Linked DNA regions of Saccharomyces cerevisiae S288C. Changing the gene in region 1 together with any one later gene gives a genetic interaction. Each region holds a gene or a part of one and is shown in the gene's direction. Other genes may lie near its edges. The genes, in order: IXR1, RIM101 and BNI4.

The links.
Region 2: mutations in IXR1 (region 1) and RIM101 together harm fitness more than expected from each alone (negative genetic interaction), as found in Saccharomyces cerevisiae (3 studies listed by BioGRID).
Region 3: mutations in IXR1 (region 1) and BNI4 impair growth when combined (synthetic growth defect), as found in Saccharomyces cerevisiae (4 studies listed by BioGRID, with this or other methods).

What each region holds. Positions count from the first base shown.
Region 1 is NC_001143.9:379,756-383,516, reverse strand, and holds IXR1 (DNA-binding transcription repressor IXR1), read left to right. Parts: upstream 1-1,658; coding exon 1,659-3,452; downstream 3,453-3,761. Other genes in the region: MAE1 (malate dehydrogenase (oxaloacetate-decarboxylating)), read left to right, coding at 1-801. UniProt on the Saccharomyces cerevisiae protein: Binds to platinated DNA and confers sensitivity to the anticancer drug cisplatin. Activate the expression of the COX5B gene.
Region 2 is NC_001140.6:49,187-52,947, forward strand, and holds the start of RIM101 (alkaline-responsive transcriptional regulator RIM101), read left to right. Parts: upstream 1-1,924; coding exon 1,925-3,761. Other genes in the region: WSC4 (Wsc4p), read left to right, coding at 1-1,394. UniProt on the Saccharomyces cerevisiae protein: Transcription factor that mediates regulation of both acid- and alkaline-expressed genes in response to ambient pH.
Region 3 is NC_001146.8:210,254-214,014, forward strand, and holds the start of BNI4 (Bni4p), read left to right. Parts: upstream 1-1,668; coding exon 1,669-3,761. Other genes in the region: YNL234W (uncharacterized protein), read left to right, coding at 1-1,260.

The sequences.
Region 1 (3,761 bases):
ACGCACGGCGTTGACAAGGAAGAAGCGCGCAAGAAAATCTTCTTGATGGACAGACGTGGGTTAATTCTACAATCTTACGAGGCTAACTCCACTCCCGCCCAACACGTATACGCTAAGAGTGATGCGGAATGGGCTGGTATCAACACCCGCTCTTTACATGATGTGGTGGAGAACGTCAAACCAACGTGTTTGGTTGGCTGCTCCACACAAGCAGGCGCATTCACTCAAGATGTCGTAGAAGAAATGCACAAGCACAATCCTAGACCGATCATTTTCCCATTATCCAACCCTACTAGACTACACGAAGCCGTTCCTGCCGATTTAATGAAGTGGACCAACAACAACGCTCTTGTAGCTACCGGATCTCCTTTCCCACCTGTTGATGGTTACCGTATCTCGGAGAACAACAATTGTTACTCTTTCCCAGGTATCGGTTTAGGTGCCGTACTATCGCGTGCCACCACCATCACAGACAAGATGATCTCCGCTGCAGTGGACCAACTAGCCGAATTGTCGCCACTAAGAGAGGGCGACTCGAGACCTGGGTTGCTACCCGGCCTGGACACCATCACCAACACTTCTGCGCGTCTAGCTACCGCTGTGATCTTGCAAGCACTCGAGGAGGGAACCGCCCGTATCGAGCAAGAACAAGTACCGGGAGGAGCTCCCGGCGAAACTGTCAAGGTTCCTCGTGACTTTGACGAATGTTTACAGTGGGTCAAAGCCCAAATGTGGGAGCCTGTGTACAGACCTATGATCAAGGTCCAACATGACCCATCGGTGCACACCAACCAATTGTAGACGAAGCATAACCAACGCCTGCACTTAAAAAAAAAAAACCATATAGAGTAATATATAAATATATATATTTGTACAATTTTTTTCTTTATTTTTAAAAAAAAAATAATACTTGACATACCGTAATAATAATAATAATAATAATAATAATAATAATATAATAATAATACAATAATACAATAATAAAAACAATAACAACAGCAACAATAGCACAAGAACATTAACCCAAGCAACTAGCAATAACAAGAACGGTAATTATCAAAACAAAATATGATACCAAATGCGGAAAAAATCGGCACATATCCATAAAACATACACATCGTGCTTAGCGATCTACATACCGTGGAGGAATGGGTGGAACGGTTACTGACGACGGCCGCGCGGGGTTTTGTGTTGGGTGTGATGTCCGGATGCAACAGCAGCAAAGGAGAGGCGCAGCGGACCTTCCTTACTTTCTTTTTCTTCTTTTCTTTTCCACCTCCCCTTGGTGAGAGAACGAATGGGAACAAAAAAAAAATGCACACATCAGCTGGTGGAGCCAAGTATAGACACGGCCCGGCGCATTCGTTCTCTCTCTCCTTCTGTCTCTCGTTCTCGCTGTAAATGTGGTTTACTTCGTTATCCTCTGTACCGTAATCGTACTGCATTGTATTCTGTTTCCTCTACTGCTAGGTCACTGCCTAACAGCTACTGCTACCGAGACTGTGACGCTGAAGTTTATTCGCTCTGATATCCCACAAAGAACTCTATTACACACAGACAAGGCAAGGCAACGCAAGTCAAGGCAAGACCACAACTATATCCCCTTCTTCTATCCATTCTGTGATATACGTACGACGCTAACAGTACCCACAACTGCAATGAACACCGGTATCTCGCCCAAACAGGACGACGCCTCTAACTCCAACTTACTCAACATAGGCCAAGACCATTCGCTGCAGTATCAGGGTCTCGAACACAACGACTCCCAGTACAGAGATGCTTCTCACCAGACACCTCACCAATACTTGAACCAGTTTCAAGCCCAGCCTCAACAACAACAACAGCAGCAGCAGCAGCAACAACAGCAACAACAACAAGCGCCTTATCAAGGTCACTTCCAGCAGTCGCCTCAACAACAACAGCAAAATGTTTATTATCCACTACCTCCACAATCTTTGACGCAACCTACTTCGCAGTCGCAACAACAACAACAGCAACAACAACAACAACAGTATGCTAATTCGAACTCAAATTCAAACAACAATGTTAATGTTAACGCGCTACCTCAGGATTTCGGTTACATGCAACAAACCGGATCGGGCCAAAACTATCCGACGATCAATCAACAACAATTTTCCGAGTTTTACAACTCCTTTTTAAGTCATTTAACTCAAAAACAGACAAACCCTTCTGTCACGGGTACAGGCGCGTCTAGTAACAACAACAGTAACAACAACAATGTTAGTAGCGGCAATAACAGCACTAGCAGTAATCCTGCCCAGCTGGCAGCCTCCCAATTAAACCCTGCCACGGCTGCTGCGGCCGCCGCAAACAATGCTGCTGGCCCGGCTTCGTACTTGTCTCAGCTCCCACAGGTGCAGAGATACTACCCGAACAACATGAACGCTCTGTCTAGTCTTTTGGACCCTTCCTCTGCAGGAAATGCTGCAGGAAATGCCAACACCGCTACTCATCCTGGTTTGTTACCACCCAATCTGCAACCTCAATTGACTCACCACCAGCAGCAGATGCAGCAACAGCTGCAATTACAACAACAACAGCAGTTGCAGCAACAGCAGCAGCTACAACAGCAACACCAGTTGCAACAACAACAACAACTTCAACAACAACATCATCATCTACAACAGCAACAGCAGCAACAACAGCATCCAGTGGTGAAGAAATTATCTTCCACTCAAAGCAGAATTGAGAGAAGAAAACAACTGAAAAAGCAAGGCCCAAAGAGACCTTCTTCCGCTTATTTCCTGTTTTCTATGTCCATAAGAAATGAGTTGCTTCAACAATTCCCTGAAGCAAAGGTCCCCGAATTGTCTAAATTGGCTTCTGCAAGGTGGAAAGAGTTAACGGATGATCAAAAAAAACCATTCTACGAAGAATTCAGAACCAACTGGGAGAAGTACAGAGTTGTGAGAGATGCTTACGAAAAGACTTTGCCCCCAAAGAGACCCTCTGGTCCCTTTATTCAGTTCACCCAGGAGATTAGACCTACCGTCGTCAAGGAAAATCCTGATAAAGGTTTAATCGAAATTACCAAGATAATCGGTGAAAGATGGCGCGAGTTAGACCCTGCCAAAAAGGCGGAATACACTGAAACTTACAAGAAAAGATTAAAGGAATGGGAAAGTTGTTATCCCGACGAAAATGATCCAAACGGTAACCCAACCGGTCACTCACATAAGGCCATGAACATGAATTTGAATATGGACACTAAAATCATGGAGAACCAAGACAGTATCGAGCACATAACCGCAAATGCCATCGACTCAGTTACCGGAAGCAACAGTAACAGTACCAACCCAAATACGCCCGTTTCTCCTCCGATTTCATTACAGCAGCAGCCGCTCCAACAACAACAACAACAGCAGCAACAACAACAACACATGTTATTGGCTGACCCCACTACAAATGGTTCGATCATAAAAAATGAATAACAAATAAACAACTTTAGTTTTCCACTGTAACATTATCCCACGCAAACAACGAGAATAAGGAATTCCTTTTTCAACATTTGTTTTATATTGTACTACTCTATTTCCTATTACTACAAATTTTACTTTATTTAATAATAATTTTTCTTTCCCTTTTTCTAACTTCAGTCTATATGTATTTGCCTGTATACATATACGCATGTGTGTAGTCTTCCCTCCTTCTTGTTTTTGTAATATACTTAAGCCAAATTCAAGTTTGCCTCTGATGCTGTGCGAGCTCAACTGACGAGCGTGATGAAGCCAAAAAAATTA
Region 2 (3,761 bases), on another chromosome or scaffold:
CGAGTATTGTGGACACAACCACAATCTCGCCGACTCTGACGTCAACGAGTACGACCCCATTGACAACCGCCTCAACCAGTACAACACCATCAACTGATATAACATCGGCACTGCCCACGACTACAAGCACAAAGTTGTCAACATCCATTCCCACAAGCACGACATCGTCAACCTCTACCACCACAAGTACCTCATCGTCGACTTCTACGACCGTAAGTGTCACATCATCAACATCTACCACCACAAGTACTACGTCGTCAACCCTCATTTCCACGAGCACATCATCATCATCATCATCAACTCCAACCACAACATCGTCAGCCCCCATTTCTACAAGCACGACGTCGTCAACTTCCACTTCAACAAGTACAACATCGCCAACTTCTTCTTCAGCACCTACAAGCTCGTCTAATACAACACCAACGAGCACAACGTTCACTACGACATCACCCAGTACAGCCCCTTCAAGCACTACGGTTACTTACACCAGTACCACAGCATCTCCAATAACGTCCACTATAACTTCTGTAAACCTGCAGACCTCCTTAAAGTATTCTGTGATAACAGTGACTTCAGTGCACACCATGGACACTAACATTTCGGAAATCACCTCGAGATATCTCACCATGAAAAAAGTAATAACGCAGATTTACTCTTCCACCCTCGGGGCTACTCCTACTTCTGCAGTGGCTACTACGTCTGCCAGCGTAGGTGGTAGAATAACAAACAATAACAATAGTAACACCACCAACAGCAATACACCAACTAACAAGTCTACAGAAAAGAAAGGGTACTGGGATTCGCCCGGGAAAATAGCCGCTACTTTCGTCGTGGTTGGAGTGGTATGTTTGGTAATTATATGCATACTAATATACTTAATACATCATTATAGAACAAGACCCGCTCGGAAGGCTCAAGATTTTGAGAATGAATATCAGAGTAAGTTTTACCAGTCCAAGTACCCAAATGAAGTTACCACTACCACGTTACACACGCCTTCACCATCTTCAAATTCAACTTTCTCGACCCCAAGATTAATATACACTGATGAAAAGGGACAAATTATGTCTGAATCACCATCCCCACGTCAATCTACGTATTCCTTGACTGCAGGCAGTCCACCAAATGACCCAAGCACGTTGGCAAGCCCATTTCACGATCCCATTCTTCCCAGAAGAACTTCTACTTTTCTTCATTCGCCCATTCAAAAGCAACACGAAAAAATGGAATCAAACGTTACTCTAGGTGAAGACACGGTACTGGTGGATCAGAGGCTAGACCCAAGTAAGATGCTTAACACTTTAGCAAATGACGATGCCACAAACCACTCTACCATTTCGTTATCAGACAACGTAGACTACTCCAGGAGGGTTCTGCGGCTAATGAACGAATAAAGACTGCAGCTCTTATACGTAATAAATATTCCACGAACGATAATACATACATAATTTTAATTCTGAACTTTGTTTTTTTCCTTCGAATGTTCTCAAAAGAATGCTTTACGACAATAACGCTGTTATCTTGTACATACTTTTCTCTGCCCAGTGACAGCAGGCACAATAATCTAAATACCGCGTTCGTGCGAGACATTCTCTGTGATTCACAGATTACGGCGCAGAAAATAAAATAGCCGTCCAGCTCGGAGTTTCTAAAATTACGTCCGAGATGACGGAGGCTTATAAAATCATTTCAGACGGGTGAGGGATGCCAATCTACGAGACAAAAGATAAAAAATTAAGACTCAATAATATAGAAAGGAACTAAATGTTTTCATAAGAGTCACCGTCTATAACCTTTTTTTTTTTTATTGGTCTGTTATCACTTCCACTGAGAAAGTAATATTGCTATTGCACAACACTTTTTGAACAAGTGCAAAGATAAAATACTGAAAACGGTAAAGTAGGTTTGTTTAAATTGACTTAAGATGGTGCCATTGGAAGATCTGCTTAATAAAGAAAATGGCACTGCCGCACCTCAACACAGCCGGGAGAGTATAGTAGAAAATGGGACAGACGTTTCTAACGTCACAAAGAAGGACGGGCTGCCCAGTCCTAACCTATCTAAAAGGTCTTCTGATTGTTCGAAGAGGCCTAGAATTAGGTGTACCACGGAAGCTATTGGCTTGAACGGTCAAGAAGATGAACGGATGTCACCAGGCAGCACTTCTTCATCATGCTTACCATATCATAGTACTTCACACTTGAACACTCCTCCATACGATCTATTGGGCGCTTCGGCAGTTTCACCCACCACATCATCTTCCTCTGACTCGTCCTCCTCCTCGCCATTGGCACAAGCGCATAACCCGGCAGGTGATGACGACGATGCGGATAATGACGGTGATTCTGAGGATATAACACTATATTGTAAATGGGACAACTGTGGTATGATTTTCAACCAACCAGAGCTGCTATATAATCATCTGTGTCATGACCATGTTGGCAGGAAGTCACATAAGAACCTACAATTGAATTGTCATTGGGGAGACTGTACCACGAAGACGGAGAAAAGGGACCATATCACCTCGCATTTGAGAGTTCACGTACCATTGAAACCGTTCGGTTGCTCTACGTGCTCCAAAAAGTTTAAACGTCCGCAAGATTTAAAAAAGCATTTGAAAATTCATCTGGAAAGTGGCGGTATTTTGAAAAGAAAGAGGGGACCCAAATGGGGCTCAAAAAGAACTTCTAAGAAAAACAAAAGTTGTGCAAGCGACGCAGTGTCGTCTTGTTCTGCATCTGTGCCTTCCGCTATAGCTGGTAGCTTTAAGTCACATTCTACTTCTCCACAGATATTACCCCCATTGCCCGTGGGTATATCTCAACATCTGCCTTCACAACAGCAGCAGCGGGCTATTTCCTTAAACCAACTATGCTCAGACGAGCTATCTCAGTATAAGCCGGTATATTCTCCACAATTGAGTGCCAGATTGCAAACGATCTTGCCGCCATTATACTACAATAACGGCAGCACGGTAAGCCAAGGTGCCAACAGTCGGAGCATGAATGTCTACGAGGACGGTTGTTCTAATAAGACCATAGCAAACGCCACCCAATTCTTCACCAAACTATCGAGAAATATGACAAATAACTACATTTTGCAACAAAGCGGTGGTAGTACTGAGTCCTCGTCATCATCTGGGCGCATCCCCGTAGCACAAACAAGCTATGTGCAGCCACCTAATGCTCCTTCATACCAATCCGTACAAGGTGGTAGCTCTATTTCGGCCACTGCAAATACAGCAACTTATGTGCCAGTACGGTTGGCCAAGTATCCAACTGGTCCTTCGCTTACTGAACATTTGCCACCTTTACATTCGAACACTGCCGGTGGTGTTTTCAACCGCCAATCACAGTATGCTATGCCACACTATCCATCTGTTCGTGCTGCGCCTAGCTATTCCTCCAGTGGCTGTTCTATATTACCGCCTCTACAATCAAAGATACCAATGTTACCATCGCGCCGTACAATGGCAGGTGGAACTTCATTGAAGCCTAACTGGGAATTTAGCCTGAACCAAAAAAGCTGTACTAATGATATTATCATGAGTAAGCTGGCGATTGAAGAAGTAGATGACGAAAGCGAGATAGAGGATGATTTCGTAGAGATGTTGGGTATAGTGAACATTATCAAGGACTACTTGTTGTGCTGTGTCATGGAAGATTTAGATGATGAAGAAAGTGAGGACAAAGATGAAGAAAACGCATTCTTGCAAGAATCTTTAGAAAAATTGAGTTTACAAAACCAAATGGGAACTAACT
Region 3 (3,761 bases), on another chromosome or scaffold:
CATTCGCAGTTGTTAACCAACAGCGACATGTCTAGCGGGAATGTCCACCATACGAAACCGATGATGTACAACGTAACCCTGCCTTCCTACAACAGCAGTAGTATAGGTCCAGTCGATAATTTGAAAATAAACGAGAGACCTGGCTCTCATGATCATTCCATGAGAAGTGAAATGTCATCCAAAAACTCCGGAAGCGATTTTATGCCACAATCTATTTCACGTTCCGAAGGTAGTGTCTACCAGGTCAAGATAGATCGTGGTGACTCCCCGAATACAGAAGGATTCGACTTTAAAGTTAATGCAAGAGATCTGCTGTTACTTCGAATGTCCTGGGATATCCTCCTCAGGGAGTATTTAACACCTAAAGAATTAAAAGTTTTTCAAGCACTTCTGTATTCCAATAAACATATTACTTCAACAGAAAGACCCTATTTGAATACTGCTCCTGACGGTATGATTTCCAAAACTATTGACCCTACTGCCAGGCCACGTAAAACAAAACAAAGGGACAATGATAACAAGGTTGATACTGCACTATTTTGTTCACAGTTTTATGACAATTTGATTGCAATGGATCCCTTGTTAGAAGAATATTTTCCATCATTAAAACATCAAGCAGTTTCGTTCTGTAAGGTCCTTGATTCTGCTATTGACAACCTTGAAAACGTTCATGTCCTAGATGATTATATTGTGAAATTAGGAAAACGCCATTCCAGAATTCTCGGCATCAAAACCGTTGGTTTCGAAGTAATGGGAAAAGCATTTATGACTACATTGCAGGACAGGTTTGGATCTTTTCTCACACTGGAACTCAAAAATCTATGGGGACAACTTTACTCATATTTGGCAAATTGTATGATTACTGCAGGGAAGGACCCAATGGAAAAGATTCAACCAGATTTTTCGTATAATGGTGACTCTGTGGTTTTAAATTTTTCCATTCCCAAACTTGCGATGCATGATATAAGTACAGTTAACAAGCTACAAATGGTGAAAACTAAAAACGCTACTATACCTCATAATATAACACAAGTACCGACAAATAAAATTCCTACAGAAATACTCTTAGACAATTCTTCTACTCCAATAAAAAGCGACCGTGAATCGACGCCTCCAATCTCACCAAAGGGCTCTGGAAGTACAAAACCAAGCATCGGTAGCAGTACCGTCGTGGAAAGTAATACCAAGAAAAATAATTATGATGAAAAAATCCATTTATTGCAAAAAACTGCTCAGCAGAAGAACTGCTCGATTATGTAACTACAACCGTACCATTAAGTGTATAAGTTTCCCAGGTTATATTATATATTCTTTAGATCACTGCCTGTTCTTTATTACCCGCGAGCTAATCTTTGTCTTATATAGGCGCGTCAGCGGAGACGCGTCAAGTCAACTTCTCTCTTCTATCGTCCCGAGTATGAAAAATCATTTCAGATTCGAAGAAATCAGATTGGCTTTATATCTTCTTTAGAACAAGACGTGTAATATTCTCACACTTAGAGTTGACCCCCTCAAGTTCGCTTATTAGTACAGGTTTTGACTTTGCAAATAAACAACAGGAAAAGCGACTCAAATAAATTGACAAAGAAATCTCAACAACCAGAGTGCAAAAGCCGTACGAGCAGCGTTTTTATTAATAACGATATATCACTACGTATTCAACAGAATATGTCGGATAGTATTTCAGATTCAAAGTCCTCAGAACTTTTAAATTCTACTTTTTATTCGTCGACGTCGATAAATACACTTGATCATGCTAGAACCTTTCGAAATTCTCTGATATTGAAGGAGATATCAGATCAAAGTCTAAATTCATCAATAAAGCCATGCGAATCCGTCCTTGATAGGGATGTTGAAAGCTCAGTTCTGCAGCGGTCGTTTGGAGAAAGTAATGCCCGAGACTCAGAAGTACAAACGGTAAATATGACAACTTCCCCCTCATTAAGTGCATTGGCTGATATTCTGAACGAAAGATCCAAATATGCTGACCAAAAAACTAGAAAGGCACAAAATATTGAGTCTTCCATAATAGAAGAAGAAGAAGAGGCCGAAGAGCAAAACAACTCGATCAATTATCACGAGGATATAACTGGATCCAGGCTGTCTGTACGAGAGGAAGCAAATGAAAACTTGGCGATGACCTCTCCAAACCTTATTGACATTGACGGATCCAATAGTATTCAAGTTGCCCCTTTGAGTTTACCGTCTTTCGAAGAACCTGACTTTTTGTCCACTCCTAGAGTAAAACCTGATTCTCAGGGACCTCGGAGCAAAGTTAGTACACGACGTACTATTCTCGAACGAGACAACAATTTACCAGTTAAGCGGGAGGAAAATACTATCATTAATTCAGAAACTGAAAGCACAACACATAGCGCACCATTTTTAAAAGAGGATCCGAAACCCTCGCCTCCTTCGAGTAAATTATACAACCCAAAAGTTCGTTTAAACAAAGCAGAAGCGCGAAAGTATACTGATTCTTCTGCCCAAAGGACTACTTCAGCAGGCTCGGTACTTGAAGACACTTCTATGCATAAAAAGAAAAAGAGTATATTTTCATTTCTGAAGAAGAAAGAACCGAAACCAGTTATTGGTAATAATAGTGTAACGAATGAAAAAAATAAGATGTCTTCATCGAGCACTTTCTCAATGAATATTCAAACCTCTTTAAAAACGCCTGAAAAACTAAAGAAGAAGTCTCACAGTAGCAGTAGCATTTTCAATTCCTTCCTAAAGGGAAAAATTGAAACATCAGACTCACCTCGAAAGGAACCAATGAGGCAAAAAAAAAGAACCCCAAAATCCAAGGACAAAAAGCAAGATACTGAACAAATAATTGACGCCGCATCAGTGTTATCCACTGAATCACCTCTACTACGAAAAAACCACGACGATACTCCCGTGAAAATAGATCACGTAACGAGATCAATTGATCAGAGAAAACCTACTCCTTTAAACATGGATCTCATATTGGGAGGTGATAAACAGATAAATACCCCGCTACAAGAACACGTAAGAGAAGATGATGATGCCAAAAATGATCTTCAATTACCAACCAAGGATAATTTTTTATCACTGGACTACGAAGCACCCTCACCAGCATTTTCCAAACACGATACAGGTGAGGTTCTTTTCCCAAAATTTTTGGATAATCATGAAGTCGACTCGATCGTTTCTTTAGAAAGAACAAGATCTACAAAGTCTAACAAGAGAAGTTCAATGAACTCGCAAAGAAGGTCATTGACAGATACGCTATCGATCAAAGCGCAAAGTGAGGGAATGTTCATCACTGAGGCATCTTCTGTTGTATTATCTACTCCAGACTTGACGAAGTCTCCTGCTAGCAGCATTTTAAAGAATGGAAGGTTCGAATACTCAGATAATTTCTCCAGAGAACACTCTTACGAAGGTACCACGAATGAGGACTTTTTAGATATCAAGGACGATAGTGGTCCACTAAAAAAAGATGACATATTTTTAGAGTCTATTGAACAAAAATTTGACCAGCTAGTGATGGCCTCTGATGAAGAAAAAACTGAAGTTGAAAGGGATGTACCAAAACCAAGAGAAGAACCTCTGAAGAAGGATTCTGAAAGGCAAAGCGTTTTTGCAGATGATGATAACGAGTTAATTTCTGATATAATGGAGTTTGCAAGTTTTATTAACTTCGGTGATGATGATCTCAATCTAGACCTAGACTTGGGAGATACAACGGCCTCATATGCAACAGAAACCCCTGAACCTGTTGGAAATGATGAAGT